Arabidopsis thaliana: one gene and its partners. The protein of the gene in region 4 interacts with the protein of the main gene of each other region in a pairwise test. Each region holds a gene or a part of one and is shown on either strand. Other genes may lie near its edges. The genes, in order: TFL2, SAP, NF-YC2 and PPD1.

The links.
Region 1: the proteins of PPD1 (region 4) and TFL2 interact in binary tests that used the Arabidopsis thaliana proteins (3 or more experiments, as listed by UniProt).
Region 2: the proteins of PPD1 (region 4) and SAP come close enough for resonance energy transfer, tested with the Arabidopsis thaliana proteins (one study listed by BioGRID).
Region 3: the proteins of PPD1 (region 4) and NF-YC2 interact in binary tests that used the Arabidopsis thaliana proteins (3 or more experiments, as listed by UniProt).

Annotation. Positions count from the first base shown.
Region 1 is NC_003076.8:5,825,761-5,833,032, forward strand, and holds TFL2 (uncharacterized protein), read right to left. Parts: upstream 4,001-7,272; 5' UTR 3,778-4,000; coding exon 3,418-3,777; intron 3,105-3,417; coding exon 3,079-3,104; intron 2,999-3,078; coding exon 2,891-2,998; intron 2,779-2,890; coding exon 2,023-2,778; intron 1,941-2,022; coding exon 1,880-1,940; coding exon of another isoform or gene 1,862-1,879; exon of another isoform or gene 1,792-1,861; coding exon 1,744-1,791; 3' UTR 1,411-1,743; downstream 1-1,410. Other genes in the region: AT5G17680 (disease resistance protein (TIR-NBS-LRR class)), read left to right, coding at 1-1,393; AT5G17700 (MATE efflux family protein), read right to left, coding at 5,265-5,360, 5,441-5,527, 5,625-5,743, 5,848-6,086, 6,200-6,256, 6,331-6,417, 6,554-7,095.
Region 2 is NC_003076.8:13,934,655-13,944,548, forward strand, and holds SAP (Transducin/WD40 repeat-like superfamily protein), read right to left. Parts: upstream 6,214-9,894; 5' UTR 6,133-6,213; coding exon 5,926-6,132; intron 2,937-5,925; coding exon 1,803-2,936; 3' UTR 1,432-1,802; downstream 1-1,431. Other genes in the region: AT5G35760 (Beta-galactosidase related protein), read left to right, coding at 1-128. UniProt on the Arabidopsis thaliana protein: Transcriptional regulator involved in the specification of floral identity. Acts as A class cadastral protein by repressing the C class floral homeotic gene AGAMOUS in the external flower organs in association with APETALA2 and other repressors.
Region 3 is NC_003070.9:21,021,382-21,027,802, forward strand, and holds NF-YC2 (nuclear factor Y, subunit C2), read left to right. Parts: upstream 1-3,100; 5' UTR 3,101-3,415; exon of another isoform or gene 3,416-3,723; 5' UTR 3,724-3,736; coding exon 3,737-4,336; 3' UTR 4,337-4,521; downstream 4,522-6,421. Other genes in the region: MYB72 (myb domain protein 72), read left to right, coding at 1,003-1,141, 1,227-1,356, 1,442-2,063; AT1G56180 (ATP-dependent zinc metalloprotease), read right to left, coding at 4,862-5,017, 5,136-5,268, 5,350-5,426, 5,544-5,620, 5,704-5,952, 6,040-6,099, 6,249-6,421. UniProt on the Arabidopsis thaliana protein: Stimulates the transcription of various genes by recognizing and binding to a CCAAT motif in promoters.
Region 4 is NC_003075.7:8,425,099-8,433,068, forward strand, and holds PPD1 (TIFY domain/Divergent CCT motif family protein), read right to left. Parts: upstream 4,623-7,970; 5' UTR 4,428-4,622; coding exon 4,310-4,427; intron 4,167-4,309; coding exon 4,027-4,166; intron 3,928-4,026; coding exon 3,752-3,927; intron 3,287-3,751; coding exon 3,196-3,286; intron 3,108-3,195; coding exon 3,011-3,107; coding exon of another isoform or gene 2,964-3,010; exon of another isoform or gene 2,645-2,963; coding exon 2,585-2,644; coding exon of another isoform or gene 2,502-2,584; exon of another isoform or gene 2,394-2,501; coding exon 2,330-2,393; coding exon of another isoform or gene 2,290-2,329; exon of another isoform or gene 2,265-2,289; coding exon 2,077-2,264; intron 1,994-2,076; coding exon 1,986-1,993; 3' UTR 1,579-1,985; downstream 1-1,578. Other genes in the region: ATARD2 (RmlC-like cupins superfamily protein), read right to left, coding at 1-46, 130-254, 332-446, 633-727, 803-914, 1,053-1,076; ARD1 (acireductone dioxygenase 1), read right to left, coding at 5,386-5,428, 5,542-5,612, 5,692-5,816, 5,900-6,014, 6,148-6,242, 6,323-6,434, 6,752-6,769; AT4G14720 (TIFY domain/Divergent CCT motif family protein), read right to left, coding at 7,385-7,619, 7,693-7,756, 7,953-7,970. UniProt on the Arabidopsis thaliana protein: Regulates the arrest of dispersed meristematic cells during lamina development.

The DNA of each region.
Region 1 (7,272 bases), on a different chromosome or scaffold from region 4:
TCAGCTTAGGTCCTTGGATATCTCAGAAAACAAAAGACTTGCATCACTTCCGGTAAGCATTTCTGAGCTAAGATCACTTGAAAAGCTCAAGCTTTCTGGATGTTCTGTACTCGAGAGTTTTCCACTAGAAATTTGTCAGACAATGAGCTGCTTGAGGTGGTTTGATTTAGATAGGACTAGCATTAAAGAACTACCTGAAAACATTGGGAATTTAGTAGCTCTTGAGGTGCTTCAAGCCAGTAGAACAGTGATAAGGCGAGCACCATGGTCTATTGCACGACTTACCCGTCTTCAAGTTTTAGCGATTGGGAATAGTTTCTTTACTCCAGAAGGTTTGTTGCATTCTCTTTGTCCTCCCTTATCAAGGTTTGATGACTTGAGAGCTCTGAGCCTAAGCAACATGAACATGACAGAGATTCCTAACAGTATTGGTAACTTATGGAATCTACTAGAACTAGATTTGAGTGGGAACAATTTTGAATTCATCCCCGCAAGCATCAAACGGCTCACCAGGTTGAACAGACTGAATTTAAACAATTGCCAGAGACTTCAAGCATTGCCCGATGAGCTTCCACGAGGTCTCTTGTATATCTACATCCATAGCTGCACATCACTAGTGAGTATCTCAGGTTGCTTCAACCAATATTGTCTGCGAAAGCTTGTAGCTAGCAACTGTTACAAATTGGATCAAGCAGCGCAGATTCTCATTCACCGTAACTTGAAGCTAGAGTCAGCAAAACCAGAACACTCTTATTTTCCTGGAAGTGACATACCCACTTGCTTCAATCACCAAGTCATGGGTCCTTCGCTGAATATACAGTTACCTCAGAGTGAATCATCGTCTGACATTCTGGGATTTTCTGCCTGCATCATGATTGGAGTTGATGGACAGTACCCGATGAACAATCTGAAGATACACTGCTCTTGTATATTAAAAGATGCTGATGCTTGTGAGCTGGTTGTTATGGATGAGGTGTGGTATCCTGATCCAAAAGCTTTCACAAACATGTATTTTGGATCAGATCACCTTCTCTTATTCAGCAGAACCTGCACGTCCATGGAAGCTTACAGCGAAGCCCTGTTTGAATTCTCAGTCGAAAACACAGAAGGAGATTCCTTTAGCCCGCTTGGAGAGGTTAAAAAATGTGCGGTACACCTTATATCACTCAAAGACATGATGCAAGAGTTCTCTAATGACTCTGACAAAATTCAGAGTTCTGATTTGGATCTTCCAAAGGCATTTGATGACGCAAGAATTTTGAAAAGAAGAGCATATGAAACTGAGTTCTTGCATAAGGAACAACTAAATCCCAAGAGGATCAAGTTTCTTCCAGTTCCTTTGGCTCGAGAGCGTCATTCCAAATTACATCAGCGAAATGTCATACGAAAGTAAAAAAAATTACTTGGTTTGCTTGTAAACATAATTATTATATATTGATTGATCACATATATTTTGATAACATCAACATATCATGAACTTGATCTTTGAAGAAGCAAGTACAAGAAAACTTCCGCTATAAGAAGCAAAGGTCCAAGTAACAAGATTTACTATGATAGAGATAGAGAGTGAACACAACGAACCCGAGGAGATAAATTACAATCTGAAACCTCCCGGAGACGCGATACAAAATCCAATTGTCGCTACCTCGACTCTACATGTTGCACTGCTAGAATAAAGAAGCCATCTAATCTTTTCTACCTACAAGGGCTGTGTACAAACAAATTCTTACCATTCCGGATGATTTAAGGCGTTCGATTGTACTTGAGATGTTGCTCATAGAATTCAATCAGCTGGTGTGGGAAAAACAAATTAGAAAAGCTAATAAGAAACTTCCAAATGAGTAAGTGCAGAAAAAAAAAGCTATAAAGATAATCTTACGAGATGAGGATTGTGAGCCTTGAGAAATCTGTTGTCCACCAATGCTTCCTTCCCATCAGACCTATGAGAGTAACCAAATAAGTACAATTGTACAAATATGAAATCAAATTACGAGAAATGACCAAAGAGCTAAAGAGACAAACCTCAGCGCTAAAAAGGTCACCAACACTTCCTGGACATTGTCTGATACAGATGCTGTAAAACTCATTGGTTTAAGTATCTTCGTGATGTCCAACTCCTCAATCTTGGTTTTCTGAGACAAATTACAATTTTCCATCACACCAGGATATTCATTCCCCATCCTTGCAATCCTACCAAAAGAGTCTAATGTAGTCAAATCTGGTGTCAGATTCTGATCTGTAGGTGCTGTGTGGTTGTTACTTGTGGATCCATCTTGTTTGAATCTTTTCACAGAACCAGACTTCCTCCGCTTAGCACCTATGAAACGACTGTTCTTATCAAGCTCCTTAGGATAAACCTTGAGAAGGCCATTGGGTCTTACATTATCACCTTCAGAACCAATGCCTCCTCCTTGAGAACATCCTGCACCGTTACTATTGTTGACTGGTCCTCGTAGCTCGTTAAGTGTTGGATCATATTCTTTCTCATTGTCAATCAAACGAACTTGTCGGGCCATCCCAACACTCCCACTGTTGGCTTCAACTTGGTTGGATACATAAGCATTCTTCGCTTCCACATCTCTATTTAATAGACTCGAACCGCTTAGGTCTAGTGGATCAGGAATGTCAGGAAGGCTAGAGTTGTTGAGAGACGTAGAAGAGTCAGATTTCTCAGTAGCATCATGTGATGTAGATGTTAAACGTTGCTTCTTCTTCATCTGAGAATGAGGACCTGCATATTTGCGCTTCCGTTTCCTACCAGGCTTTCCTGGCTTCAAACTTTGAAACATATGAAACAAGAAAGCAAATCCATACATTAAACCAAGAAAATCCATGAAACAATCAATTCAAAAGTATCACAAAACTTTTATATAAGATTCCATTTACTTACCTTCCCTCAAAGGCATCTATAACATCAGCAATAGACTGGAGATTCTCTAAAGGCTCCCATGTGTTGGCAGTTTCAGGCCATCCGCGCCTTTCACAACCGAGTTTATAACTTATGTCAATGGAAAAACATATGTTTAATCAAGAACAACAAACTTAAAAATGAAACCAAGTAAGATTAGAAAAACTCACCATTTAATTAGATACTGAACCTTGCCCTACAAATACAAAAAAAAAAACAGTACCAAAATGCAGAATCAGAATCATTCAATCAATCAAATCCAAGAAGATATCAAACATTAAAGATCATTTTCTTCCTACAACATATAACAACCACAGAATCAAAACTTTGGTTCGTTATAAACTACTCTGTTACGATGATTACTAACTACTAAAGCAGCCACTTTCTCACACCAATGTGTAACCTACGTTTGATACTTATCTTAAACCTAGAAAACCTAAAACCTCAACTAATTATGGTTAACAAAAACAAACCACATTTGCTGAGTGAAGACGAAAAAAGGAGCTTACTTTTCGAACTCTCTTACGACGAATAGCTTCAATTTCATAAAACCCTTCATCAAGCTTTGGCCTTTCCTCTTGCCCACCTTCTCCTTCTCCTTCTTCATCTTCCTCATCACCTCCATCATCTTCATCCTCGTCCTCTTCTTCTTCTTCATCTCCATCCTCCGTAGGCCTATCATCACCAATCTCGCGAAGAATCGACTCTCCACTTCCACCTCCACCTCCCCCTCCGCCGTCGTCACTGCCAAACCCACCGTCTCCACTAATTTTCCGGCTTTCTCCGACTGTTTCCACCGCCGTCTCCGCCTCACCAGCTTCGTTCAACACCTGGGGTTTCTTCTTAACAGCACCACTTGCCCCTTTCATTTCCTGAGTATTCGAGCCTCCCAAACCTGAAGGAGGAGGGTGAATCAAGGTAATCGCGTTCTCTTCTCTTCTTCTCCTTTTTAGAAATCAAGGATTTTGGAGGAAGAAGATGAAGAAAGATTGAAACTTTTTCTCTATTTCTGAGGTTTTTGTTTTTGCAGGAAGAAGACCTGACCTGACCTCAAAGACCAGTTTTTTCACTTTTTTGGATTCTCTTTTTTTTTTTTTTTTTTAATATCACAATAGGAAAAGTTGAATACAGCAAATTCTTAACGTTTATAATCTAATTAGAAGAGATTATTTCTAATTACTAATATGAAAATAATAAATACTACTGAAGAAAATATGTGAAGGTAAATTAAATCGAAAAATATATTAAACTGAAAACATTTTCTTTAAATTAGAAATAAAAGAACATCGTGCTCTTGCTCCTTTTACAAGGAAATCAACTAGGACATTATTACAACTTAAAAAAAAATCAAAGGAGATTGAAAAATCAGAAAATAAGTCTCATAAACTAAGATTCTCACTCCAAGTCTCCAAGTGCACTGCAAAGGCAGACAACTTAGTTGGATCTCCTAACATCATCATCAATAATTTTCAGCAATATCTCATCCAAACCAACAGAAAAGAAAGTCCTTCTCCAAGATAAACTTCATCGAGATTCAGATTCTTTCATTCCAAAGTATAGTTATCTTGATAGTAACTATGTGATTACTGCTCGAGTTTTAGCCTCAACTTTTGGTGGGCTAAAGTTCTATTTTCTTCAGTTTAGTGTGTTTGTTCTATACTTTGTCCAACCAAAACTTGTTTCTTTGTGATTAGTACTTGTACACTAAATGATGCATGTTTTGATCGCTTTGTTAAATTTGAATTGTTACTATAAAATTTGCAGTTCTTTTTTTGTTTAAACGTTAGAAAAATAATAATTACTATTATTATTTAAAATGGTGATATGAAAGAAGTAAAAAGGAAGAAAAAAAACATTCATTAGGATCGGTTCATAAATAGGGGGAAAAATGGAACGTTTTGACTTCAACATAAATAAATGAGTATTTTATTTGATGGTGAGCTTATGAAAGTTTGTAACGTTTCCTCGAAATATATATGAGAATATTTTTTTTGTAAAAATTCACGATTACAAGCACTCAAACAAATGGAATTTTTTTCCCCACACACAAAATATACATCCATTAAAAAATCAAGAAAGAAGTTAAAATTTCAAACCTCCCACAATTTTTTTTTTGTTTAGAAAGAGTATATCCGAAGAACAAGAGAACAACCTTTTTCTCTGATAAAAGAAAAAGTTCATCCTTCTTAACCTTTTTCAAAGTTATGAGAGTTGCATTAACCTAATAATGCAATCTCAACACCGATACTTCATTCTTAGGGAATGCAAAACACAACCACAATACAACATAAATTATTCTTTCTTTTTTTATAAAGAATTTCTTAAAAGATTTCTTTAAATTAACTTAGTTGTATGTTCACTTTCTCTCTTCATCTCTTGTGGAGATAGTAGTCGATTGTACAGCAGGTAAATTTAGAGTCCACGTTTTCATACGCTCGTTTGTCTTCTTAACCTGTAATTAGATAAAATTATACATTTAATATGACGAATTTTCTAATAAAAATTTTGAGTTATATATTAAAAGTAAATTACCTCCAATTCCCAGTCAGTTTTGTAAATAACATAACACAATATCAACGTTTGGATACCAACTCCAGCCAACATTCCGGACCAGAGTCCCTGCATACAATATCATTTATTCAAGTTAAAATTCTAAAAGTTCTAATGATTGATCATAATGAAGTACTGGATACCAGTTTTCATATATATGATGTACCTTAATCCCAAAATTGAAAACGTAAACAAGGAGGACACCTAAAGGAACACCAATTGCATAATAAGATGCTAAGTTCACTAATGCTACCATACTCTGCATCCCTGCTCCAATTGCTACCCCTGTTTATATATGTTCAAACAAATTTAGTGGTTACAAATTAGTGAAATCTAAAAGTTTATGTTATAATTTATTTATGTCTAATATAAGGGTTTTATTTTGTAACCAGATAGAATGGGCTGGATGATGTTGAAGAGTATAGATATGCTAAGGACGATGGAGAGATCAGCTACTGCATCCGAAACTGCTTGGCTATCAGAGAACAAATACGAAATCTGACCGCCAAACGCTAGGCAAAGAGCGGAACATATCACACCGATCACCGCTGATACCACAAGCACCACTTTTATCGAGAATCTCACCGCATCCGCATCGCCTTTTCCCAATTCATTCGCCACTCGTACACTACATTTTCGGATTCATAGATAGAGAAACATTCACTTTAGTATTAAACAAATAATATATGTATACATCAAAAACAAAATACTGTGAATGAGAGTACGTATATAGTTACAAACCATGCTGCACCCATCAAGCCAAAGCATATGTTCATCTCCCATGAGTAGATATATTGGCTGCAAATTTTGAATTAAGTATTTAGTTTTCATATGTATATGGAAAAAAAAACTTCTTCGGATTTAAGTAATACCATATGGAGAAAGCGGAAATTGCGATATTCGCATCCTTTGCATATCCAGACATCAAGACAATGATGCTCATATACCAGTACTCTAAGCTGTTTGAGGCAATAAATAAACAAGAGAAGCAAAAGAAGAGTCATTAGAAATTTGTATTAGCCTATTAGTAGTGGTCCACGCTTAATAATCATGTTTTAATCCCGCGAAAAAAATTAACAAATAAAAGCAAGTTACCAAAGCATGAAGCCGGAGGATATGGATAACTTGAGCATGGGAATAAGATCAAGAAAAGCAGCAGTGCTAAAGCCGGTCCAAGTATGCGGGCACCACCCTCCAAACACATATACAAACTCGGCTATGGCCACCGACCATGAGCTTATATTAAGCCCTAGAAGCGCACCATGGATCCCCATCCCCATCACGCTTACGCACCACCACGTGGCCGCAATGTCCAAGACCAAGGCTAGGGTCGAAAGAATGCCTATGATGGCGTTTTTCATCTGCGCTTGGAGGTACATTTGCATTGTCATGGTGAACACGATGCTGTAGAGATAAGGAATGACCCATGGGTAAATCTCGTCTACTGTCTCGGAGATCACAACGTTTTGGCCTAATAACCGGAGAATGGGACCCGCTAAGACGATGAAAGGGACGAAGAGAGTTGCAATAAAGGTATCTACTATCCAAGAACGTTGTAAGTATATCCCCATCATGTGGTATTGTTCTGCTCCGTATGCTTGTCCACATAACGTCTCTGTCGCACTTGACATACCTGCCTGTAATAATAATATTACCATGCAATTCATATTCTCTACCATATAATTGGTTATGAGTTGAAAATACAATAAACACTCATTCATTACATTATATCAGAAAGAAAAAAAAATCATTCATTACTTTTTCATATAGCTTTCTGCTTAAATGTTAAAAACAGTGTGAAACCACAACATTTT
Region 2 (9,894 bases), on a different chromosome or scaffold from region 4:
GACTAAAATCAAGGAGATGTGGAGGGGAGAAGCTTCCGCCTGATACCAACGGTAAGAGCTCCACATGCGGTGTAGCGATGCAGAGTAGAAAAGGGAGATCTACGGCGAAGAACGAGAGAGACAAGTAGATAGATCTGAGACCGAAAATTGTGGCGGTTCCACGAGATCTTTGTCGATGGGGGAGGTATATTTGATCCGGCAAAGCGAAGCCAACGTCGAAGGTCTCTGTTTTCTATTCCCTACTATTTTCTCTCTTTCATGACTGAGCAAGGATCTCTTCAACAAAAACGAGATCGGCTCTCTTCCTCCTTCTCAAAACAACTCTACAGTGGCGGCATGGCAACAAATTTTGGATCACCATCTCGTTTGGCTGTCCTATTTCAGCGAGAATCTGCAGTTTTGGACGGCGGCTCGATCATGTTTTTTGATTGAGATTAGGGTTTTCAATCTTGGTTAGTTAAATTCGGTTTGTAAATTTGAGATGGCTTTAGTTTTGAGCTGCTTTGTTTATTGTATTGAAGTTTGTGGATTGGGTTTTTGCGATTTTGTATATGCTCTATCTAGAAATAGCCCATTAGACATTATATATAACAAAAAAAAAACATGAAAAACACTAGAAATCATACAATCAAATCCGCATACCTGAAACTTAAAAGACTGGCACATTCGCTAATAATGAAACATGCATCAATGGTCTCTCAAGAGTCATATTATTTGCATAAGTTGATTTGTCCCTGCAAATTCCAATACAAAGCCTTGTGGACTTAATTAAGATAATAGATGTGAAAATTCAAACACATGAATCTGTTTAAAAGACAAAATAAACGTGGCATTATATCAAACATCTTGTAATTTCATATACATAAATATCAAATTGATATTTCCCTCTCTTTGAGAACTGTCCTTACGAATTCGTTTCTAAATAACATGTTTTAGATCCTAACTGTTTGTGTTCTTATGTGATGGTTTTTTAGGGACCGGTAGGTACAACGTGACTCATTCTTGTGAGAATCCAAGTTTTGAACTATGATTTAAAGTCACAATATATGGTTACCATCTCAAATTTTATGTAGAGTGCAACTTTTTCTTGAATTGGCGTGTGTTTGGTCTTCTCGAACTTGCTTCTAACGCTATTTCAAACTTGGAAAATTTTGATTTTCACTCTTTATCATCTTGTTTGTTCAATGAGATTAGCCGTTTTGTTTGTATATTGGGTGTGTCCAATTATGCTCTTTTCTTATGTTATTGTTTATGAATAACTTGTTGAACATTTTACTTATCAATTCACTCCAATATATCCTAAAATTGGGATATGCTCAAATCACATCTAGATCTCATGATTCATATTTCTATACCATTCTTTCGATTTTGATCTTGTTTCTGTCTACACCTCCTGTAAAATATATTTTTTACACAAAATGTATTTAAAACCCATTATACAAAATAATAAACTCCAGTAAAGTGAAGAATTACAAGTAGAAGAAAAAAAAAAGACATCTCGTACAAAGTCAGAATTGAGAGAGCCCTAAACACAAGGAAAAAAACAAGAACAACAAGAAAAAGTCCACTTTGTTTGGTTTTAGACAAAAACAGTAACTTACTTTTTTGGTCAAACTCTGTAGAAAGAATCAATCTCCCTTGTAAATCTCACCCTCCTGTCACCATCTTCCCTCCGTCACTTTCCCAATTTAATTTATAATCAGAAACCCTACATATACACCTAGGTTTAGGGTTTCGCTTTTTCAGAGAAAAATAGTTTCTTTTTCTTCAAGTTAAAAAAAAAAAATTATTAATCTGGTACGCTACAGTGCACCGAAATCCCATAGATGTATAATACTCTGAGCCGTTGATGAAGCTGACGCAACCGCCACATGTCTATCATCGGCAACAATGGCGTCAACTTCTCCTACTCTCTCCCTAATACTGTACAGATACTCTCCTCTCTCTACCTCCCACACGCGCATTATACCACCTGCGCACATTAGCGCGTGCAGTCTATTAACACAACCCATTACTCTTCTCTGCGCCGCTCCACTAACACGGAACTCACACACCGTTTGTTGCGTGTTCACCCTTCGCACGCTAGCGTTTCCTCTACTGTCCAATCTAACGTACGCTTCGTCGTTGGCATCGAAGCCTGTCACTATTAGTCCTCTACGTTGCTCTTCGTCTTCTCCGATGATCACTCCTTGGTTTCTTAGATCGATCACCATGATTCTCCATCTCGTGCATGCTACCGCCGTCTCGTTACCGGAGATTCTGAGACGGCCAAGGGACGTTGTTAGCTCTGTTAACGTGTGCCATCCCATGACAGCTTCAGGGTCGGTGAGTGTACCACCGACGAATGTTGTCTCTTCGCTGTTACAGTCCCATATGTGAAAGGCACGACCTGGCACACCCGCGAAAAGACCGACCCACCAACGTCCACAGCCAGTGAAATCTACCAACGCACCGTCGTTAACTATATCTCCTGCGTAAGCCGTGCGTGTGTGACCAACACCGTCTATTTCCGCCACGTGGATGTCTCCGTCCATCGTAGCGAACGTGAGCCTTGAGTCGGAGATAACAATGCCTGAGACGGCTCGTGAGAATCTACCAAAGCGGTCACGTAGAGGTGGCCGTAAGGTCCTGACGTGGAGTCGGTTGTTTAAAAGAAAAAGCCGGACGGTTCCGTCGGCGAACCCTGCGGCTAAGTAGAGGTCTGAGAGGGTGAGACAACGGCAAGAGAGACTATCAGGCTCGTCCACATCAGACGGGTCAAATTGGAGAGTGAAGTAGGTGTGAGTACGCGTCCGGAAGTTTCTAGCCGTCCGATGACGGTAGATGAACTCGTCCCGCCACGTGTCGTGCATCAAATGTGTTCTTGCCCAAACTTGGCGAGATAGTAGTTGCCATAGATGGTCGGAGCGAGAGACAGCGTGCCACGTGGTGCAAACCTGCGATTAAGAAAAATTATTATAAGTTTTAACAAATATTATAATTAGTAGCTTAATTAATAAATGTATAAATAAGGGAGAGAGTAAAAAAAGACATAGAAAGAAGATAAGTAGGCCTGCAACGAAGCATGAAAGACTCTATATATAGGGACTAGGAAGATGGAAAGACAACGACAGACTCAGACACAAGCTCTGCGTAATATTTGTCTTACTCATCGAAACACACAACTCATTTTTATAAAAATCTATTTTATGACATATGTTCAATTGACGGGACTAATCAATCTCTGGAAGCTATAGATAGAGATATAACAACAGAAGCCCTAGTGTAAAAGGAATAATGAGAGGAAGCCCTAGTCCCATGTCAAAAGAACAAAAAACAAATCAATGTGACAATAATACAAAACAGATGATATGTTAATTTATTAGGACAGATGAGAAGACTTTAAATGAGTTAAGCTGAACATGAGATTCCGACTTTGCCAACAAGCGTGCCCTTCTCTCTTTCATTTCCAAGAAAGGATAGCTTTTAAGCCTTTGGTCTTGTTAAAAGTAGAGCTTCCCATAAATACACAAATATTACACTTATATATAGTAGATGTTTCTCTGTCTCTCTCATCCCTCTCCAACAATCCGTGGACCTACATTCTCTACATTTACGTTTATATTGTTATTTATTGTACATCTTTATTCCTCATTAAACGCAAAGTAATGTATTTGACTTCGTACTCTAGCTCTATAGTACAACCTAAAATCAAATATTTCGAATTCTATACGAAAAGAAAAGATATCTTGTCAAACCAAAGGTTTAATGTCTATTAGTCAGATAATCATTATAAAAAAAGAATAATCTAGGCACTAGGGCACGAAATGTAACATAAAATAGATTAGTACAACAAATAACATATGATGGAATGGCAAATCCTATTTATTATTATGCAAATTACCAATCACATCAATATGATATACTTCAAATAAGAAGGGAAAGAAAGTAGTTCAAATATTCCTGAGTTCTAAGATGACCAGATTCAGAATATCACTTTTGTATTTTAATGTGTGATATATCAAATGTAAGAACATAGTATATAATCTATAGACACCACTGCACGTGCTCTAAGAGACCCTTAACATTGGGTTCCATGTGCTTTTCGGCATATGTATGCCCATAATGTCGTCTCTTTTGACTGAAAAAAATTAAGGAAAGAAAAAAAAAAGATAAAAACCCACTTCAATGGAAAAGATGAATCGAGTCAGGAAAAAAGATAATTCCATGATCAATTTCAAAGTAAAAAACAACAATGAAAACTCTAGACTTATAGCCTTAATTCTCTGACAAAAGTGTTATGCTGTAACTACACTGCAGTTTCTTAAAATTTTAGGGCAAATTTGAAAATTCAATTAATTAGAAAATATTATGGGATTTAATAATGATTTAGAATTATCATGTATACATAGAGAAGTGAGATAAAATAAGAGAATGAGAAGTTGTCAGAAGCTCTGCATGCATTACTCAGTGGATCATAATATTGGCAGAGAAAAAAATAACAAAAGCAGGACGCAAAAAATGTACATATGTACTTATATACTATTCCTCGTTACTATATATGAGAAAAATCTTCAGCATAATATATATATGTATTATTTGTTTTTTTATGAACAAAAGAAAAAACAGCTATTTTCATATATAACATAGGATTATTAAAAAGAATAATATGAATGCCTGATATAATACATGGATCATATATCTGTTGATGAATAGAGTTTTCATGTATGTAGAAAATAACCTAATGTGGTAATATAGGACTAACATTGGCAAGGCAAAAAGACAGGACCTTACTTAGGTTTCTTTTCATTCTCTTTTTAGATGTTGTTAAATGTGCAACGACATTTTCTAGTTTTATGAGTCTGTCGTGAGAGGTCACTTTCTATTATTATAATTTTAAAACAATTAGCAGATAAATACCGTTATAATTATAATTCTAAAAAATATTAAATCTATTGGGCATTGGACTAAAGACTGTGCCTAATGTCTATCAACCAATATTTGGAGACAAGAAAGTGTTTAATTTGATTATTATTGTAAGAACTTTTGAGTCAAAAAGTGGATTTCTTGATCTTAAAAAAGGGCTTTCTACATGCCAAGAAAGGAAGATTTAAAGCCAATAAAATAAAATAAAACCTTGATTTTGTGCCCTAAGGGATCCAATTCATAATATAATATTAATATTAGAGTTACTATGCCCAAATGTTGTACAAAGATTACACAAACGAGATGGGGTTGTATGGTCTCCTTAGAGGATCCAAAAATAGACATTAAAAGGTATCAAAAGTAGACGAGAGAACAATGAAAAAGAAATAAACTTATTGGGTAAAAATGGAAGACAAAAAGTTTCTAAATACATAAAAGAAAAACAAAGTCCCCAAACTATATGATATGTGAAAGAGACATCAAATTAATGTCGTCTTGTTAGACATAAAAGTTGGACTTGGACCCATCATAGAAACACAGAAAGGGCGGTTACCTTTCCAAAGGTCAGTTTTTTTTTTTTTTTGTCTCTTCAGAATCCCAACCTTACAAACTAATATCACATTCAATCGAATTGAAGTAACATCATCACTTAATTATGATCTAAAGAGTAAGAATTCGTTATACCAAAAAGAATTAGAACGGCAGAATCAAATCTAAGCTTAGAAACAACTAAAGTACAAGACACTTGAAACAAGCAGTACATTTGACTAGACCAAGATTGTGTCCCTCCACTTAAGTTATTATAGACCCACGACTACTTTGACTTTGTTTTGTCTGCATAAGATCTATGTCTCACTATTTTCAAGTTCAAATATAAGCTAATAAACGAATTCAGATAGTGTAACGAAAATATTACTTTACTACCTGAAGTACATATATATATAGAGAGACACGAGATAATTGATGTGTCTCGACCGTTACAAAACTAAAAGAAGGTATTCAAAGAACGTTAGAACTGACCCGAAAAACGTTGGCAAGAGCCGGAGCTGCGGCGAGGAGGCCGGCGGATGTGGAAGCGTTAACGGCAACTTGAACGGCGAGAGATTCAAGAAAAGGCTCCGGCCAAACATCGTTGGCTCCGCGGCGAGGGCGGGATGGAGATGGGGCCTCGAAAACGCCGCCGCTTCCACCGGCTCCGTTGTCGGAAGAAGAGGAGGAGGTAGACATGAGACGAGAGGGGTTATAAGAGGAACAGGGGAAGAAGAAGAAGCGGAGAGAGGAGAAAGAATGGTGGGGGAGAGAGGAAACAAAGGACAAAAAGTGTAGATAAAGACATACTTCTCCGAGGTGGGGGACCCAGGTTGTGAAGGTATGTTTTTTTCCTATTTTTATTTTCTTTTGTCAAGATTTGTTATTATTTGTTTTTGTTTATTCTTAATAGATGCAGATTTGTTTGTGAAATAGCTTCAATTTTATATTTTTTAGGAAAAGTATTGGTTCAGTATGGTGACATATTTCAAAATTTCTTTCTTTTGATATGCAGATTTTGAATTATAATGGCAATATAACAGCTATATTATTATAAATCACTAGATTTATATTTTGACGATTTTTTATATTTAAAATAGTGTTATATATCATTAAGAATTCAACAATATATTTGCTAAGTTTATTTCCTTCCGCGAACATTAGTAAATTTTTTGTATATGGTAAACTATTGGCTAAACACAAATATTTGTAGATCGATCCATTTTAAAAATGAGAAATAAAATAATATGTATACGCAAAAAATTTGTCAGAGAGATCAAACTCGTAGCACCAAATCTCGACTTTCATACCAGTAGTAAAAACTTTTAAAGCATAGTTTAACATATTTTTTTTTCCCAACATACTATTGTCATTATAAGTAAATAATTTTTGGAAATCTGGTTAAGCATATTCTTATCATTACAATCCTCAAACCTAGAATTCGCCATATTCTGTCATCACAAAACTTAACCCTACTTTTTCTCATATTGCAGCTATCACGATCCTCAAAACCACGGTTCATCGTGAACTTTAGTCCAAACTCATCACAAACCAACACATGAGCATGCGATGCTTTTAAGTTTATTCCTCAATCTAAATATAGAAATATTTACATTTTCTGAAAATTATTCATATATATAGTGCTTTTATATAATTACAATTAACATTTTTGATTAGTATTTTTTAGTTAAAACATTTTTATTCTTTTTTAATTAAAAATAATTAACGAAATAATGATGAATCACGTTATTAAGAGAGAAAAAAAAATAAAGCCACATTATTAACGTCACTAAGAGGAACATTTTGGTTTTCCTCCCAGACATTGTTCATCTTGGGAAAAAAAAATGTCTTCTCTTTTACTAGGTGTTTATCCGAAAACGAAGAAAACCTATTTCTCGTGGCTATTCTCTCTTTCTCTCGTCTCTTCCGCCCGAAACTTTTAACGTCGTTGTCATCGAGTCACATTTCGTCTCAACTCAACTTGTTTCGATATGTGTCAAATCTTTATTTCGATTTTTCCGACAATAATCAGACATCTAAGTTCAATAGCAAGTGATTCCCATGATTAAAACCATTTTCTAAAACCACTGTTATGATATTGATGGTTTTTATCGACGCTTATTACGGCTGATTTTTGCCGTCGATTTACATATGGTGGCTGATTTGTTATTTCTATTCGATTTGATGGCTGAGTTATTGTATGCTTTAGGACTGATTTATGATTTATTAATGCATATGTGGTTGAGTTTGTTTTGTGTTGTGGCTTGGTTACTGTATGTTTTATGACTGATTTATGATTTATCAATGCATATGTGGCTAGGTTTGTTTTATGTTGTGGATGAGTTATTGTATGTTTGACTGAGTTATGATTTATCAATGCATCTGTGGCTAAATTTGTTTTATGTTGTGGCTGAGTTAATGTATGGTTATGGCTGATTTATGGTTTATTAGATGGCTAAGGTTATTTCTGAAGAACAAGCAAAGGATTACCCTCTAAGAATTTACGCAGAAGGAGAGTCTAATCTAGAGAATAAACTCATTAATCACAATATCAAGATGACATATTTCTATGGGATTTAGAGAATTAGTATGATAAGATGTGTGGGATCAAATGAAGGAGGCACCTATTGGAATAATTACTAAGTTATCGAATAGTCAATTCGTGTGGTCTCGTAAGACTGTACATTTTCTATTAAGTAGACAGTTAATAATACTTTTGAAGGAGATTTGGTGTCTCGTTGGTTAATGCTATAAAGATGTTGAGGCCTATTGGAAAGTCGTACACCATCAGTGGTATGGTTTTCATGTTACAGGCTTGGGCATATGATTCAGTCAAATGCTTTGGAGAGCGATATAGGAACGTAGTCAATAAGGATGAAATATCGTTGCTTAGATGGGGTGGAAACCGTACACGTACAACAATGGAATTTGATGTAGGTCAAATTGCTCTAAGTTTACTCCCTCAAATAAGAGATCGTCGTTAGTACTTAAGGGTAAAATTCCACAAAACTCTTTTGTTCACACAATAGGCTAAAGTATCAAAATCAAGCTAGATAGATGATAAGAAAATAAAAAGAAAGCAAGTAAGTAGATAGTGGATTGTGAAGTTGTAAGACAAGATAATAAAAACGTTAGGTTTAGGGTATTCTCAGGAAATAGATGATAAGAGATATAGAAATAGCTAGGATGTTATCGAATCGTTCTTAAACTCAAACCCTAATTACAGAATAAGCGGTGGTTCGCCGTGCTACTCAATATGCCTAGGGCTAAAGATTCCCAGCGGTCGCTTGGCAAATCCCTATATTAAGACATGCATGATAAACGAGTTTGATAAGTTCACCTAAATAGATAGGCCGATTCTTATTTCACATCTATAAACTTGGCTCATCAAATAGTATTTCTGGTAACATATACCTTTTTGGGCATACCTATTATTTAAGATTAAGTTCTAATTAGTTACTCTAGAACTAGCATTAAGAATAACCAAAGATGAAAAATCCTACATATATCCTAGCAGGTGAACAATCTACTAAATCATCTAAATCCCTAATGAGAAACCCTAACCCTAACAAGTAGACTACTCATACATGATGGATGAAACAAACAACATTTATGAATGAGAAAGCATAAACAAAATCAATAAGAAGAAAGAGTTAGAAAATATCTCTTCGGTATTATTGAAATCTCTGATAAAACTCAGAAAAATGAATCCAATGTATAAATAGCTTATAAAATGCTTTAGAACAAGTTAGGTGGCTAAAAACTTGTTAGGTCACAACAATGACCTTAAAACTATATATATATATATATATATATATATATATAACCTAAAAACGTGTAGGTTACATTATTAGGGCGCAACTGGTGTCGATCGACACCAAGAGTGTGTCGATCGACACTCTCGACTTGATCTGAAACTAAATTCGTCATTTGGCTTAGTTTCTTTAGCATTTGCTCCAAATTGTCTCCTTAACTCCATTCTTGTCCCAATCCAAAGAATACCTTAAAAGACTCTAAAAGGACTCTAAAACCTATATTTAAATCATAGTTAATGTTGGTGTCGGATCCCGCATCATGGGCTCGGATCCGGCCAAAGATTGCTACGTGGGTAAAAGAAGCCCATAAGAGAAAGGCCCATAAACGTCCTCGAGGTGAGAGTATGGATGAGGTGTTGAGTTGCGAAGTGAATACATCATCGAAGTCAAGACTACCCGGATTGAAGAGGCCGAATGGGCCGAAAGGTGAAGTCAAGAAAAGCTCGGAGTGGATTCAAGTTCCAACGTTCAAATAGTTAATTCGAAGGCTAGAAACGGACACATTTAAGATAGAATGATTGTGAGTAAATAGGTATTAAATGTATTCTTTGGGTATAAATTGTGGGTCAAAGACCATGTAAAGACAGACGCATTTCTTGGTGCAAATTAGCTATACACACTCTTTTACAATACTCATAGTTTTCTC
Region 3 (6,421 bases), on a different chromosome or scaffold from region 4:
TTTGTTAATATCTTAATTTTTTTGGCTAATTATGTTTTACATCATGTTTTTGTTATTGTCTGAAAACTGAACTTAATGATGTTTTTATGTAAAAGAGATAAATTAAATGAATGTCTTGTGTTTTCTTAATTTATGCGTAAAAACCTTAAACATTAGATACAAAGTGATTAAGAAGTAAATAAAAGGAGTAAATAAGAGTAAACTTAGATGATGATGATGATGATGTGGGTTGAGTTTTATAAGAAATACGAAGACGAGTAAATAAGTTAATAGGCTAAAGAAAAGGATTATTGAATTCTCCTTCTGAACTAAATGTCAAATAATAAGTGTCAGGATTAATAAAAAATAAACTGATCTGAATTAATTAGGATTACAGTCTACAGATTTATTCTATTTATTTCTCCAATTGGTGTTACTTTTGTTTGTGGCATGGCCCTTGTGGTCTTTAACACACACGCACACAAACAACCGCTCTAAAGTTTACAATATACTAGATTTCTACTCGCTCATATCAAAATCTAAAGTCGAAAATCTTTTTGTATAAAATATTTAAAACTGAATAATCAAGAAATGTATCAAACTATTTAAATATTTCCGTGATGCTCAAATTAATATACATATTTTTCGTAACTCGTCAATGAATCATGCATAACTTGTTTACACAATTATACTTAATGGACACTATGATCTGTACACGGGCATATGAGTAACAAAAGAAATTTAAGAGATTACTAGTTAAAATCTGCCGTTAACTTCCGTACGTTCCATGCTTTTGGGTCTCTCTCTACGAGTGAAGTGCCTCAAATAAATAAGAGTTTTATTGAATGGAGTGGAAAATCTAATCTCTAACTAATAATTATAAAACATCTTCTGACGTAAAGAGCCGGGTTATATCAATGATATATATATAGGAGCTCCTGATAATAATCAAAAACATAACATTGCATATATAGAGAAAGATATAGTGAAGGTAGCTATAGAGAAGAAAGTAGTGTAATAAGAATGGGGAAAGGAAGAGCACCATGCTGCGACAAGAACAAAGTGAAGAGAGGGCCATGGAGCCCTCAAGAAGATCTCACTCTCATCACTTTTATTCAAAAACATGGCCATCAAAACTGGAGATCTCTTCCCAAGCTTGCTGGTTAGTATTTATTCACATGCATGTTTCGGTAATACTATAAAGTTTTAAATAACTAAGAGAAATAATGATTGATATATATACATAGGATTGTTGAGATGTGGGAAAAGTTGCCGACTAAGATGGATAAACTATCTGAGACCGGACGTGAAGCGAGGCAACTTTAGCAAAAAGGAGGAAGATGCTATCATTCACTACCATCAAACCCTTGGAAACAAGTTTGTACTCTACCTATTCATCTAATTTCTTTATAATAAGACAATATATAGTATGTAGAGACTAATTGATATATGTGATCATCAGGTGGTCAAAGATCGCGTCCTTCTTGCCGGGAAGAACTGACAACGAGATCAAAAACGTGTGGAACACGCATCTCAAGAAACGACTCACTCCATCTTCTTCTTCTTCATCCCTCTCTAGCACTCATGACCAAAGCACAAAAGCAGATCATGACAAGAACTGTGACGGGGCTCAAGAAGAAATACATTCAGGGTTAAATGAGAGCCAAAACTCAGCTACTTCGTCACATCACCAAGGCGAGTGTATGCACACAAAACCAGAGCTTCATGAGGTTAATGGACTCAACGAGATCCAGTTCCTGCTCGACCATGATGACTTTGATGATATAACCTCTGAGTTTCTTCAGGATAACGATATCTTATTTCCGCTAGACTCTCTTCTTCATAACCACCAAACTCACATTTCAACCCAAGAAATGACTCGAGAGGTAACCAAATCGCAATCATTTGATCATCCTCAACCGGATATCCCATGCGGATTTGAAGACACAAACGAAGAATCCGACTTGAGGAGACAGCTGGTTGAATCAACCACACCTAACAATGAGTACGACGAGTGGTTCAACTTCATTGACAACCAAACTTACTTTGATGATTTTAATTTCGTCGGAGAAGTATGTCTATGAATGTCAATAATATATGCATGACCAGTGTTGTATCCACTTTTGAATGTTGAGTAAATTACTATTTTACATGGATTGCCCATGCATTGAGAAGATGCTATGTTTTATGAGAGCTCTATGATATTGGTTCGTTTTTCGGCTAGATTCACACAAACAACTCTTCTCTTTTCCTTCTCGATCACTCTTATGGCTGCTCTCAGAGTCTCCGTTTTCAGAGGCCAAAACAGGTCGCAGGTTGATGGCTGGCAATGGCAGCATCGACTGCTTCCGGTGTGTCGAGATCAGGCGCCACACCAAGCATCAAGTCCTGAAATCGAATTAGGTGTGTGTAAGTTTCTTAGCCTAGATACAAACAACAAGAAATATGACTCCAACTGTACTCATCATTTCAATCACTTGATATTTGCTTCCTGTAAGGGCTTCAATGTCAAAAGCTTCTGAATTATCCTAAGTCCATACATATTTGAGAGACTGAGACGGTCTCAGTGAGACCAAACAGAAGAAGAAAAGAAAAGAAAAAAACAGAACAAATACTACAAAGAATACACAAACTTTTGATTCTTGCTCCAACCGTTTATTAAAGCACATGACCTGTTTGGGATCATCACATATCACACTAGAATCACAAAAACTACAAATTTCACAGCTCCGAGCACGCAATGATTAACAGAAATCCGACAACTACACCAATCTCTTACAGATTAAAACACAAAGAAGAGAGCTTGTGTAAGTTAAACACGTATGGTAAATACATTAGCAGTAAGAAGATACCTTGGCTTCTGAAAAGTGGAGCAATTGTGGACTTCACATAGAGGGATGGAGGAGACTGTTCTGCTCCTTACAGAACAAAACTAGCGACGACTCTGCACATAATTATCGGCATAATTAAACAAAGTCTGGCTCTTTCGAACCCCAAAGAAGAGTGGCGATAGCAAAGATGGATCCTTTGCCTCTGCAACTTCTTTCGATGGTTTCCTTTCCTCTGCTTCCCGTTTCCCTTTACTCTGTTGACAATTAGGGTCAAGTTTTGATCCGGCCCGGGTGATTTACAGCCCACAAGGTCCAATGGGCTTCTTCGAAAATAAGTTTGCGCGACGTTGCAAATGTCACGTGACTTTTGTTCACGCGCACTTCACGTGTTCTTCGTTATTCTTCGAAACCGTCCGATAAAGAAATTTCTGGAATAACACAACATAACCAATGAAAAGCATACAGGTGGAAGTAACGTAAAAACTCCCGCTTTTTCGACACGTGTCAACTAGGCGGAAGATACGCACCACCAGAAACGCTTGATAAAAAGCTAACCCGCCCCAAACCCATTTATCTTAGGGTTTCGCGAGATCTCACTCTCACTGGTATGTCTGTGTTTCTTCTTCCATTTTCTGTTTCTATTGGAAACTTCTCTCTCCAATTTCGTTTTCTTCACTTCTTTGATCCTTTAGCTTTGACAAAACCGTAGTAAAGGATCAAAAGTTATCATCTTTGGTCCATGTTGTGAATCGTGCTCTGCTTGGGTCGTGACTCCCAAATCCGGATTTGAAACCAGCATATCTGAGCTTAATTCGAGCATGCATGCGCTTCTTTTTTTCTGATTTTTTTTAGACTTTGGTTCTAAATCCCTTAACTTTGGATTAACTGTCAATCTACAATTTTATATTAACAGAGATAGCTTAGCAATGGAGCAGTCAGAAGAGGGTCAACAGCAACAGCAACAGGGAGTGATGGATTATGTACCTCCTCATGCTTATCAGAGTGGGCCAGTAAATGCAGCTTCCCATATGGCATTCCAACAAGCTCACCACTTCCACCACCACCATCAGCAGCAACAACAGCAGCAGCTTCAGATGTTCTGGGCTAACCAAATGCAAGAGATCGAGCATACCACTGATTTCAAGAACCACACCCTTCCCCTAGCCCGCATCAAGAAGATCATGAAAGCTGATGAAGATGTGAGGATGATCTCTGCGGAGGCTCCTGTGATTTTTGCCAAGGCCTGTGAGATGTTCATTTTGGAGCTCACTCTACGTGCTTGGATCCACACCGAGGAGAACAAGAGGAGGACCTTGCAGAAGAACGACATCGCCGCTGCCATTTCCAGGACCGACGTGTTTGATTTCCTTGTGGACATAATCCCGAGGGACGAGCTGAAAGAAGAAGGTTTAGGCGTGACCAAAGGGACCATACCATCGGTGGTGGGTTCCCCGCCATACTATTACTTGCAACAACAGGGGATGATGCAACACTGGCCCCAGGAGCAACACCCTGATGAGTCTTAAAACTTTTCCCCTTTCGTTTGTTTGGTTGTATCGTAGTAAGGTAGCTCTGCTCTGCTGGGAACCATTTCTATTGTGTTCTGTAATGACATGTTAGTATATCCCCAGTCTATATCTATGGCAATGCAGTTTCTGTTCTCATGTGCATTAAATAATAACAAGAATGATAGAAAGAAAATCACTACTAGTAATGCCCAAAACTTTACTTCACAGGAATTCAACTATACAGCTTTCATGTGATTGCTACTTTACAACCATTTTCTTTATGCTATTAAAAGCTTGGCTCCTATTCCTTTAAAGTTTAAACCTTGTCATCCTCCACATCTCCCTTAGTGGATAAAACCTTAACTTACTTGAACATGGATCCAAAGATACAAGTCCCTTCTCGCCATTCCAGTTGCAGTCAGGTGGTTTATATACCGAGATACCGAGAGCTTATCTGCTTCGGTCTCCATGCATTCCAAATGAGTTTTTTTTTTATGGGCTGTCCGTATTAGTAATAAATTACAGAAAATGCTGGTGCTTCAATCATTTGCTTGAAGACATGGCTTCCTCAATCCTTCTAATCACAATGCTAAGAGGACTTCCCACTTGGAGAGCTTCAACAGCGGCCCTATGTGCTGCCTTGTGCCACTTGAGTAGATTGTAAGATTGTAGAACAGACCACCTGGCTTGATTCGACATCTGTATGATCAAACGCACAGATTCGCAATGCTTAACAATCTGTACACTTGTGCAAGAAAAGTGGAAGCACATATTATACTAGTCAAATCAGATATATATGAATTTCATTAGTCCTGACCTGAGCTACGGATAACGGTGGTTCCAGAAGGACTGAGATGCTCCTGAACAGATTTTCATCATTCTCTCCACCCTCAGCCTCACCATAAACTAGCGCTTCAGCTGCAATACCAGCAAATAGTACCATGCTATACCTAAGAGAAACTGAACCAGCATTAGGTTTGTGAATGAGAGAAAACTCAGAGGGAGAGAACAACACCTTGACTAATAATCACCTATCAAATGAGCTACCGCTAAGTCGTCCCTCAGCAATCTCACTCTCCATCTTTTGATCCCAGAATTGGGTTCCAGCCTAGAGAAACACATGATAATCCATTTATGTACTCGGTTCCATATGTAGCTAAAAGAACATAGAATCACAGCACTACAAAATAGAATAGTATAACACTAGAGTGAATCTAAATAATACCTGGCCTTGAACCCCCATTTGCATGGCAACAACCGGATCCAATATCACACCACGGATTGGGCAGCCCATGAGGTATGCTGCACGACAAATAAGCTGCAATCGTTAGCCACAAAACGAGAAAGAAATTTCATAAAAATACTAATGATCACGAATGTCTTACCAACAAGAAGATGACCAGCTTCGTGAACTACGATTCTACGCTTATGTGGAGGCCAGTAGCATGATACTTGGGCTAAGCAGGTACCACCAAGAAAAACGGAATCCAAATAAGCTAGACCCAAAATGACAGCAAGGTTTGGCCGCACATCAATCTCCTGTGAAAGAAGATAGGAGACTCCACCCAGCAAAGCAGCCAGAGCAATGCTAGAACCACCAGAAAGTCCCCACTTCTTCGGTGAAAGTTTAGTCACTAACCAATATAAACAGTAAAATAAGTTTCCATCGCCACACACTGAGTAATCAAAGATGACTGAAGAGAGAAATTTGAGCTACACACCTTCCAAGCCAGTTGCAGACTTCAGGACAGTAGGTGTTACCTCTCTTGTTCCTTCCAAAACTGCATCACAGTGATACAGAAGCAAGAAACTTATGAAACGATACAAATTAATCAGTTCAAATGCTCGCACACATAGCTAAACATTACTTTTGTACATCTATCTAAACAGAAGTTGATTTTGAAGGCGCAAAGAAGAGAAAACAGAGTACCAATACTGGTGAATTTGCCGAAGTTGGCCAAAAGACCTCTCTCCTTAAGAAACCTAAACGCACTTCCAACAAGTCTCATATCATCTGCATTCAAACACGCATCTAAAACTTGCCAATCCCTCTCCAATTCAAGAGCTCCCAAGCCGCTTAACTTAGCCGTGACAATAGATTCA
Region 4 (7,970 bases):
GATTGTATGGTGTCCAGACCGGTTCACCCACGAAAAGCCGCATTGCCTGCTCAACAAGATATTTCAATTTTCTAATCAACCAAATATATATATGATGAATTAACCACTCTGAAGAAGCTAACATTGCACCTTGATATAGTTGTCTGAGTCTACGGTGAAGCGATGATATATTCCAGCAGGTAAGACTATCATACCTCCCTTCTTTACCCATACTCTAATCCAAGCTTCATTGCGATCCCTCACATCAAAGTAACCTTTTCCCAAGAAAATGAAACGTTGAGAATATAGATACCGACTTAAATCAAGTAAAGCAGCCAATAAAAGTACTTACCGCTTCCTGCAACGCAGTAACGGATCTCTTCATCAGTGTGCAAATGTTCTTCGAAAAAGCTCTTCACTTTCACTTCATAGTTTGGAAGCTTTTCCGGGCATACCTCACAAAAGTCCTGCATTTTGAACACTTTTCCATCATCAAACCAAGACTCAAGCACATAAAACAATTTGCAAATCATCAACGAATTTTCCTAAATACATTCAGTAGAGTAAGTGTTACAATTGAGTAAAACCCTAGAGAGTTAAAACAAGACTTGTTCAAAAGTAAACATCTAGCATTCAAGTCTATATAAACAAACCATGTAAGAGTAACCACGAGATTCGCGGATCTTTTTCAAATCCTCATCGGTTTCATAGTTATCAGCATCAAGTCTCCAGCTAAGTACTCCCAGCTCTGCACACAAACATTACATCTGAAACAAATAGAGAAACAGAGAGAAGAACACTGAATTGAAACACACAAAGAGACCTGCAAGTTTGTCCAAAGATAGAAACTCCTTAGGATCCTTGTGGTGAGGAAGTCTCTGATCCTCTTCGCTATCATCCATATACCATGCCTGGATCACTTCTTCTCTTCCATCCTAAGCAAAAACACACATACACAAACACAACAAGAAAACATAAATTTATGATGCTAAGCTTGAAAGAGAAACAAAAAACGTTCAGCAATTAGTGAAATTTTCGATTGCAACCTCCAAGACAAAGCCTGAATTTCATACACAACAAGTGAAACTAGAAAACATCAAATTTGATGATTAAAATAAAACAAAAATCAAAATTGGAATAGTGATCAGTGATTGAAGACCACTTAATTAACAATCGGCGGCGATTCATGTTTTCATAGCTGAAACAAGAAATTTTCCGATGAGCTTTCACGAAATCAGAATCAGAAGCAAGAGATTTACGATTACCTTAACCACTTCACCCATGGTTGTTTGTTCCTCTTCTTCTTCGTCTTCTTCGTTAGGCTTTTTATGATTCCTCTTCGTCTTCAAATCCACGCGATATATGCCTTCTCTCCTTTTCAAAAGAAGTCATTTTCGTTTTATCTTTTGGGACAAAAACAGAGAAAAAGGTTAAAAGACTAAACTACCCTCCATCCGCCGGCGTGCGGCGAGGGAAATGCCGCCTCCACATATATCCGTTTCAGACTATTTATCACATTTTTGAGGTTTGAGAAAATGTAAATACGTTAGTTAGAGTGGTAATTATTGTAAAAAAGTTAACAAAGTTAAAAGTTAAAAACTGGGTTAAAAATGGACAAAAGAAGAGAAGTTTGGTGGTGTCAAAGTAAGACTCGAGTCGAGAGTAAGAAACACTTTGGCTAAAAGGTCTCTCTCGTTAAAAGTGTCAAGTAAGACATCATTTACACATTACAACACCTAGAAAATGAAAGCCCTTCTTTCACCTCTCTTGTCTCTACTCTCTGTGACTATATCCTCACAAAAAGAATCAGAAACAAGAAATTACCACTAACCTACTAAGCTCTACTCAAAACTATAGACCAAAAATTATGGGTGCAAAACCCCGGAAACACAAAAGAAGGCCGATCCGAAGAGAGGTTTCTTTTCTTCATATCTTTGAGCTTACAAGCAAGCAACTGTTTCAACGCCTATTCACAGCTTATAGCATCTCCACGTTTCGGTATCTTGTTAAATGCCTGGAGACCAAGCGAGGAGAGTTATGAGGGAAATCATCCAAACCACTGATTTAACAAAGCTTTATATATGATTCTCTTCTTACCTTCACTGTTTAGATCAACTGAAAGATTGGGACTTTTTGTCTGGCTTTCAGGTGACTGGCTATGCAGTGGAGATCCGGTGCAGCCTAGGTTTTGCGAATATGCAGCTTTCATCCGTGGCTGACAATTCAGAAACATCTCCAAGCTAGAGGACGCAACTCCTGGACACTTTTTGGCCTTTGAGAATTTTCTGCACATTACGAAAACATATCAGTTTATAGCGATTTTGGAATAAGCGTAAGTATATAAATGCACCTGTCTTTCCGCTTTTCACGATATCTTTGCAAAGATACCTTTCTGTTCGCCTGGCCCTCCATACCTTAAGAACGACCCAAAAAACATAGAACGACGGTTAGATTAATAAACTTCACAGGTCATATAACATGCAGAACAACAAGCAAGCCAAGTTTCCTCCAAGTTAACAACATTAGCATAGCTTTGCACAGGTGAAGATGTGTTGATCAAGTTTCGCTCCGAGAATCATTAAGGTAATATGAATACTGTTCATACCAGAATCACGAGAAGAATTCGCCTTCTCAAGGCCTTTTTGGGGAAGTTCCATCATCTTCTCTGCAATAAGATTTCACATTTTCAATTTGATTTTTGACTAATTCAAACTAGACTCTGAAGAAGGAAAGTGGAATCACTATCACAAAAACATGCAAGAGGCATTTGGATATTTTACGCAAGGTAGTATAGCACAATGCAACATTTAGACATACTTCCTTGGTCAACTACCCATGCCTCCTTTCAAAGTTGGACAAAACAAAAGCAGTGTTTGCAAGAAGAGAAAATAAATAAAAAAGCTCTACTGCGTCAGAAAAGCTGGTCCATGAACTTTTTCCAGTTTGATGATACACAAAACAAAATCATTTCATGTTTGAATCATCTATCTATCAACTGAAAAACAGATCAGACACTTTAGCAAAAGCTTACCTTTACTTATGAGCTTTGAAATCATTCTACTGGAAGCAAAAATACCGTTTTCAGGCAAATCAATTGGATTGGCTGCAAAGTGCATGATTGACCGGGCCTGCAAACCAATACAAAGGATGAATGATCAAAAACATGCCAACAAAATTTCTATTTTCAGACTGGACAGAATAATGTTATTGATTTACCTTTTCAGGTGGTATTCCATCATACACATTCACTTTTCCACTATAGAATATCGTCATTTGCCCAACGAGCTCACTTGTTTCAGCTGGGCTTCTGATGCAAGATTACAGACAAGAATGTTTAATATGCTTGTAGAACAACAGGCACATGCAGCAAAACCTTTTCTTAAGCTTTCGTAGATGGACTAGGGAAAAAACCCTCTAACTTACAAAATATCATTAAGGAATTCAAGTAACTAATTATTATTTCAAGTCACATCAGTCATATTGACTATTATTTTCCATTTCTAAAGAGATCCAGGATACTAAGACATAACGAAGATGATCTTCGATCACACGATCGTGGCCAACCTAAATACTATCTGACAAATCCACCATCAATGCCTTGAACCATATATAGATTCTGTCTCTAAGGATGTGATATTGAACCAAAAACTTCCTAATATCACAAACTTAATAATGCAATGCATTACACTTTTCTTGAATTAAACAACATTCCAGTTCCAGATGCATAGAAGCAGAAAGGTATCAAAAAAAATTCAAATACGAAAATGTAAACCTGGGAGAAATAGTCGTCTTGTGGCCATCTTTCTCGGATACAAAGTGACCAGACCCACCGGAAAACTCAGCTGATCTTGGAGAATCCATTCTATGGCACGCGCCGTTATCTTCCGGATAAGAAACCCGGCCACAAGCTTCCAGCTCGTTGCTTGGCTCAATCAACGTTGTTGTGACCTGTAGATATCAGAACAAACAAGGCAACTTAGATTTTCACTTTTTTCAATCTGTGAGTTTAAACGAGAAATAGAAGCAAAATCGAAGTAAATATCTCACGCGAGGCGGATTTACTGGCTGAGAAACGAGGATCTTGCGGAAGATACCGGCGCCGGAATCGTCTCCAGGCTCATAGAGAGCTTTAAGAGATAAAACTTGCTGGATCGCCTGAGATTTGTTCCACGACGGTCTTCGCATTCCTATTTCGACATGTGTCAGCCTCCATTCTCAGAATAAACAAGCAAAAAAAAGCTCCGACAGAGTAGAGAATTTCAAAATTTGACTTCCGCTGCAAATCGGAGAAGGAAACAAGACTATGGAGAAAGGTAGAAGAAGAAGAAACCTTTGTCTTTGAGGAATTTGCGGCAGTCTTCGCGAGTGAGCTGAGAAATGTCCTCTTCAGTGAGTAGCTTCAGAGGTTTCGCAAGTATAGACTTCGCCGGTGAAACTCCGACATCCATCTCCTCCTCTTCACCGGAATCCCGGCGAGAGAGCAGTGGCGTTTCAGTAATAATCGGAGGTTTTGGGGGTAAAATTAGGAAGAATGAGAGAGAGCGGAACAGTGGCGAGAGAGAGTGAGGTCGAATAGTTTTTCCTATGGGGGAGTCAATTTGGGGGAATTGTTCCCGGAGCAGGGAAACTCCCTAGACTGCCACGTAAGCTCCACGTCTACATAAATTATTATAAGCCTAATCATGGCTGCTAAACTTGCTAAGTTTACTTTTATATCCCCTTTTTCTTCCATTCAACTACTGTTTATTGTAATCCATTAAGATAGGAGAATAAAATGATTACTCCAATTCTATAGACTATAGAGTTAATGTAGGTCGGATTTAAGGAGATTCCAAACTCTAAAAGGAAATTACAAAAGAAAGCCACAAATGTAAACGAAAACGAAAATCTTATGTCCAACCACAAATACACAAAACCACACTTTTCTTCCTTAGAACCGTGAACATGTTCGATAACAACAACCACCAAACGAACCATCCTTAAAACCGTCAGCATGTTAAGATACACAACAACAACCAAACGAACCATGGTTTAGATTAAACCAAAGAAGTTGACGCGGTTGGACGTATTACTTCTTATTAGTTTCTTCTAATTTGTTGGTTTTTGAAAAGCAAATAAAAAAGAATAGAGATTTGTGTAAAAACTCAACATATTGCACATAGGAACGAACGTAAGACAATATGAATCCCAATGTAATCTTTTCGTATATGGGATACGACAAAGATGGTAAAGAGAGACATATCAGAGAGTGTAACTAAGTTTACAACAACTCAAGCATACCAAAAGCCATCATTCTACACAGGAATACATATAAATATCCAATACTTGACAGGAAAGCTTTCTTTATTGTAGGCCTTGTTTATAGATCCTTGTTTCAGAAAGCCAGATATAGAGAGAGGAAGCTCTCTAAGCCGAGGCATTGATCATGAAGTTATCGACATATTCTTTCCTGTAAAATATCAGAATTTATTTCTCGTAAAATAACAGAATTTCTTGCTTGATTATATATCCCATTGTTTGCATAAGAGAACAAACAAAAGGGGAAAACCCAGGACATTGTACCTTGCAGGAAGATGGTCGTGTGGGCGATTGTATGGTGTCCATACCGGTTCACCCACGAATAGCCGCATTGCCTGTTCAACAAGATATTTCAATTTTCTAAGCAAGCCCAAACTATAAAATAAATGGCTAGAAGAAAAGCTGACATTGCACCTTGATATAGTTGTCAGAGTCCACAGTGAAGCGATGATAGATCCCAGCAGGTAAGACTATCATACCTCCCTTCTTTACCAATACCCTAATCCAAGCTTCATTACGATCTCTCACATCAAAGTAACCTTTTTCCCAAGAAAATAAAACATGACTACTATATCGAAATTTTAAGTTTACGAGTAAAGCCGCCAGTAAAAGAAGTTCTTACCAGTTCCTGCAACGCAGTAACGGATCTCCTCATCAGTGTGTAAATGTTCTTCGAAAAAGCTCTTCACTTTCACTTCATAGTTTGGAAGCTTTTCCGGGCATACCTCACAAAAGTCCTGCATTTTGAACACTTTTTAATCATCAAACCAAGATTGAGAAAACCCCTAGAGAGTTAAAATAAGACTTGGACAAAAATAAACATCTACCATTCAAGTCTAGTGGGATAGTAAATAAATAAAGACCACAAACCATGTAAGAGTAACCACGAGATTCACGGATCTTTTTCAAATCCTCATCGGTTTCATAGTTATCAGCATCAAGTCTCCAGCTAAGTACTCCCAGCTCTGCACACAAACATTACATGTGAAACAAAATAGAGAAGCAGAGAGAACAACATTGAATTGAAACACACAAAGAGGGGGACCTGCAAGTTTGTCCAACGATACAAACTCTTTAGGATCCTTGTGGTGAGGAAGTCTCTGATCCTCTTCACTATCATCCATATACCAAGCTTGAATCACTTCTTCTCTCCCATCCTAAGCAAAAGCACATCAAGATGGGATTAGATTCCTTGGGAGGCAATGTTCAGATATTTTATATTTAATCTGATTTTAGCTTCAAAACTTCAGACAATTCGAGAAATCGTCAATTGCATAACTAAATTGAATACGAATAGGCATTAAACTGACTGCGAGATTTGAGCAAAAGAAGTAGTTATGATGATTCGAAAATCGTCGAAAATGAATCAAATCACTCAGATAACAATCGACGATTCATGCTTGCATCGCAAAACTAGGAATTATCGATTGGCATTAACAGATCAGAAGCAGAGGAGACAAAGATAAAAACATACCTTGACCGCTTCACCCATCGTGTTCCTCGTGATGTCTTAGTCCTTCTTCGTCTTCAAAACCACCCGATTACTCGATTCTTCTTTTTAAAACAGGGAAAAGATCAAATAAATAAAAATCTTTGGTTAAAAAGACTAAACTACCCTTATTTCTCAACTTTATAGAAGAATGTTGCAAATCTCAGACATATCACATACATCATGCCATGAAAATAGACAAATTAATTATCTCATACATATCAATCACAAAGAAGTTGTGTTACTTGGACCTCAAAGATTGGTATCATCAATAAGGTCTCTCTCATTATAAGACAAGCATTTACATAATACAAACCGCCACATCCTCTCTCTCTCTCTCGCGTCTCTCTAACCTACTCAAAACTACAGACCAAAAAAGATGGACGCAACCCGTAAAAAAAACAAAACCATACAAGACCCGCACTGATCCAGCTCAAATCTTTAACCCATGTTTCTTCCACAATGAACGAGAACATTCATTGTTTGCTTTCTTTCTTTTTGTACATGGCTAACATGTTATAAGAACATGAAATTGTTCTTCCCGCCTTTTGACCCGTAGTACCATCTCCAGTTCTTTTGGCACCTTGTTAATTATCTATAAAAAAGCGAATGAGAGTTTTAAGGGAGATCATTGGAACCATTTGACAAATGCTTGTTCATACCTTCGCTGTTTAGATCACTGTTTAGATCAACTGAGATATTGGGACTTTTTGTTTGATTTTCAGGTGACTCGCAATGCCCTGTGCCACTAAGGTTTTGTGAATATGCAGCGTTCATCCGTGGCTGACGATTCAGAAACATCTCCAAGCTAGAGGACGCAACTCCTGGAGCCTTCTTGGTCTTAGAAAATCTTCTGCTCAGAAAGAAAGGTATCAGTATTCATCGATTTGGAATAAGCAAGCACACAGCATAATAGCAACAACTACCTGTCTTTCCGCTTTTCAAGATATCTTTGCAACGATACTTTTCTGTTCGCCTGACCCTCAACATCTTCAGAAAAGACCAACAAAAAGAACAATAGTTAAATTAACAGAATTTCATGGTCGTATATCATGCAGAACAAGCAAGTAGTTTAGCGTAGCATGTAGAGGTGAAGAGGTGGACCAAATTTCGCTCTCAGGTGTTTTAAAGCATCATTGAATAATAGGATTTCATATCTTTAAGGTAAAATGAGTACTGTTTGTACCAGAATCACGAGAAGCAG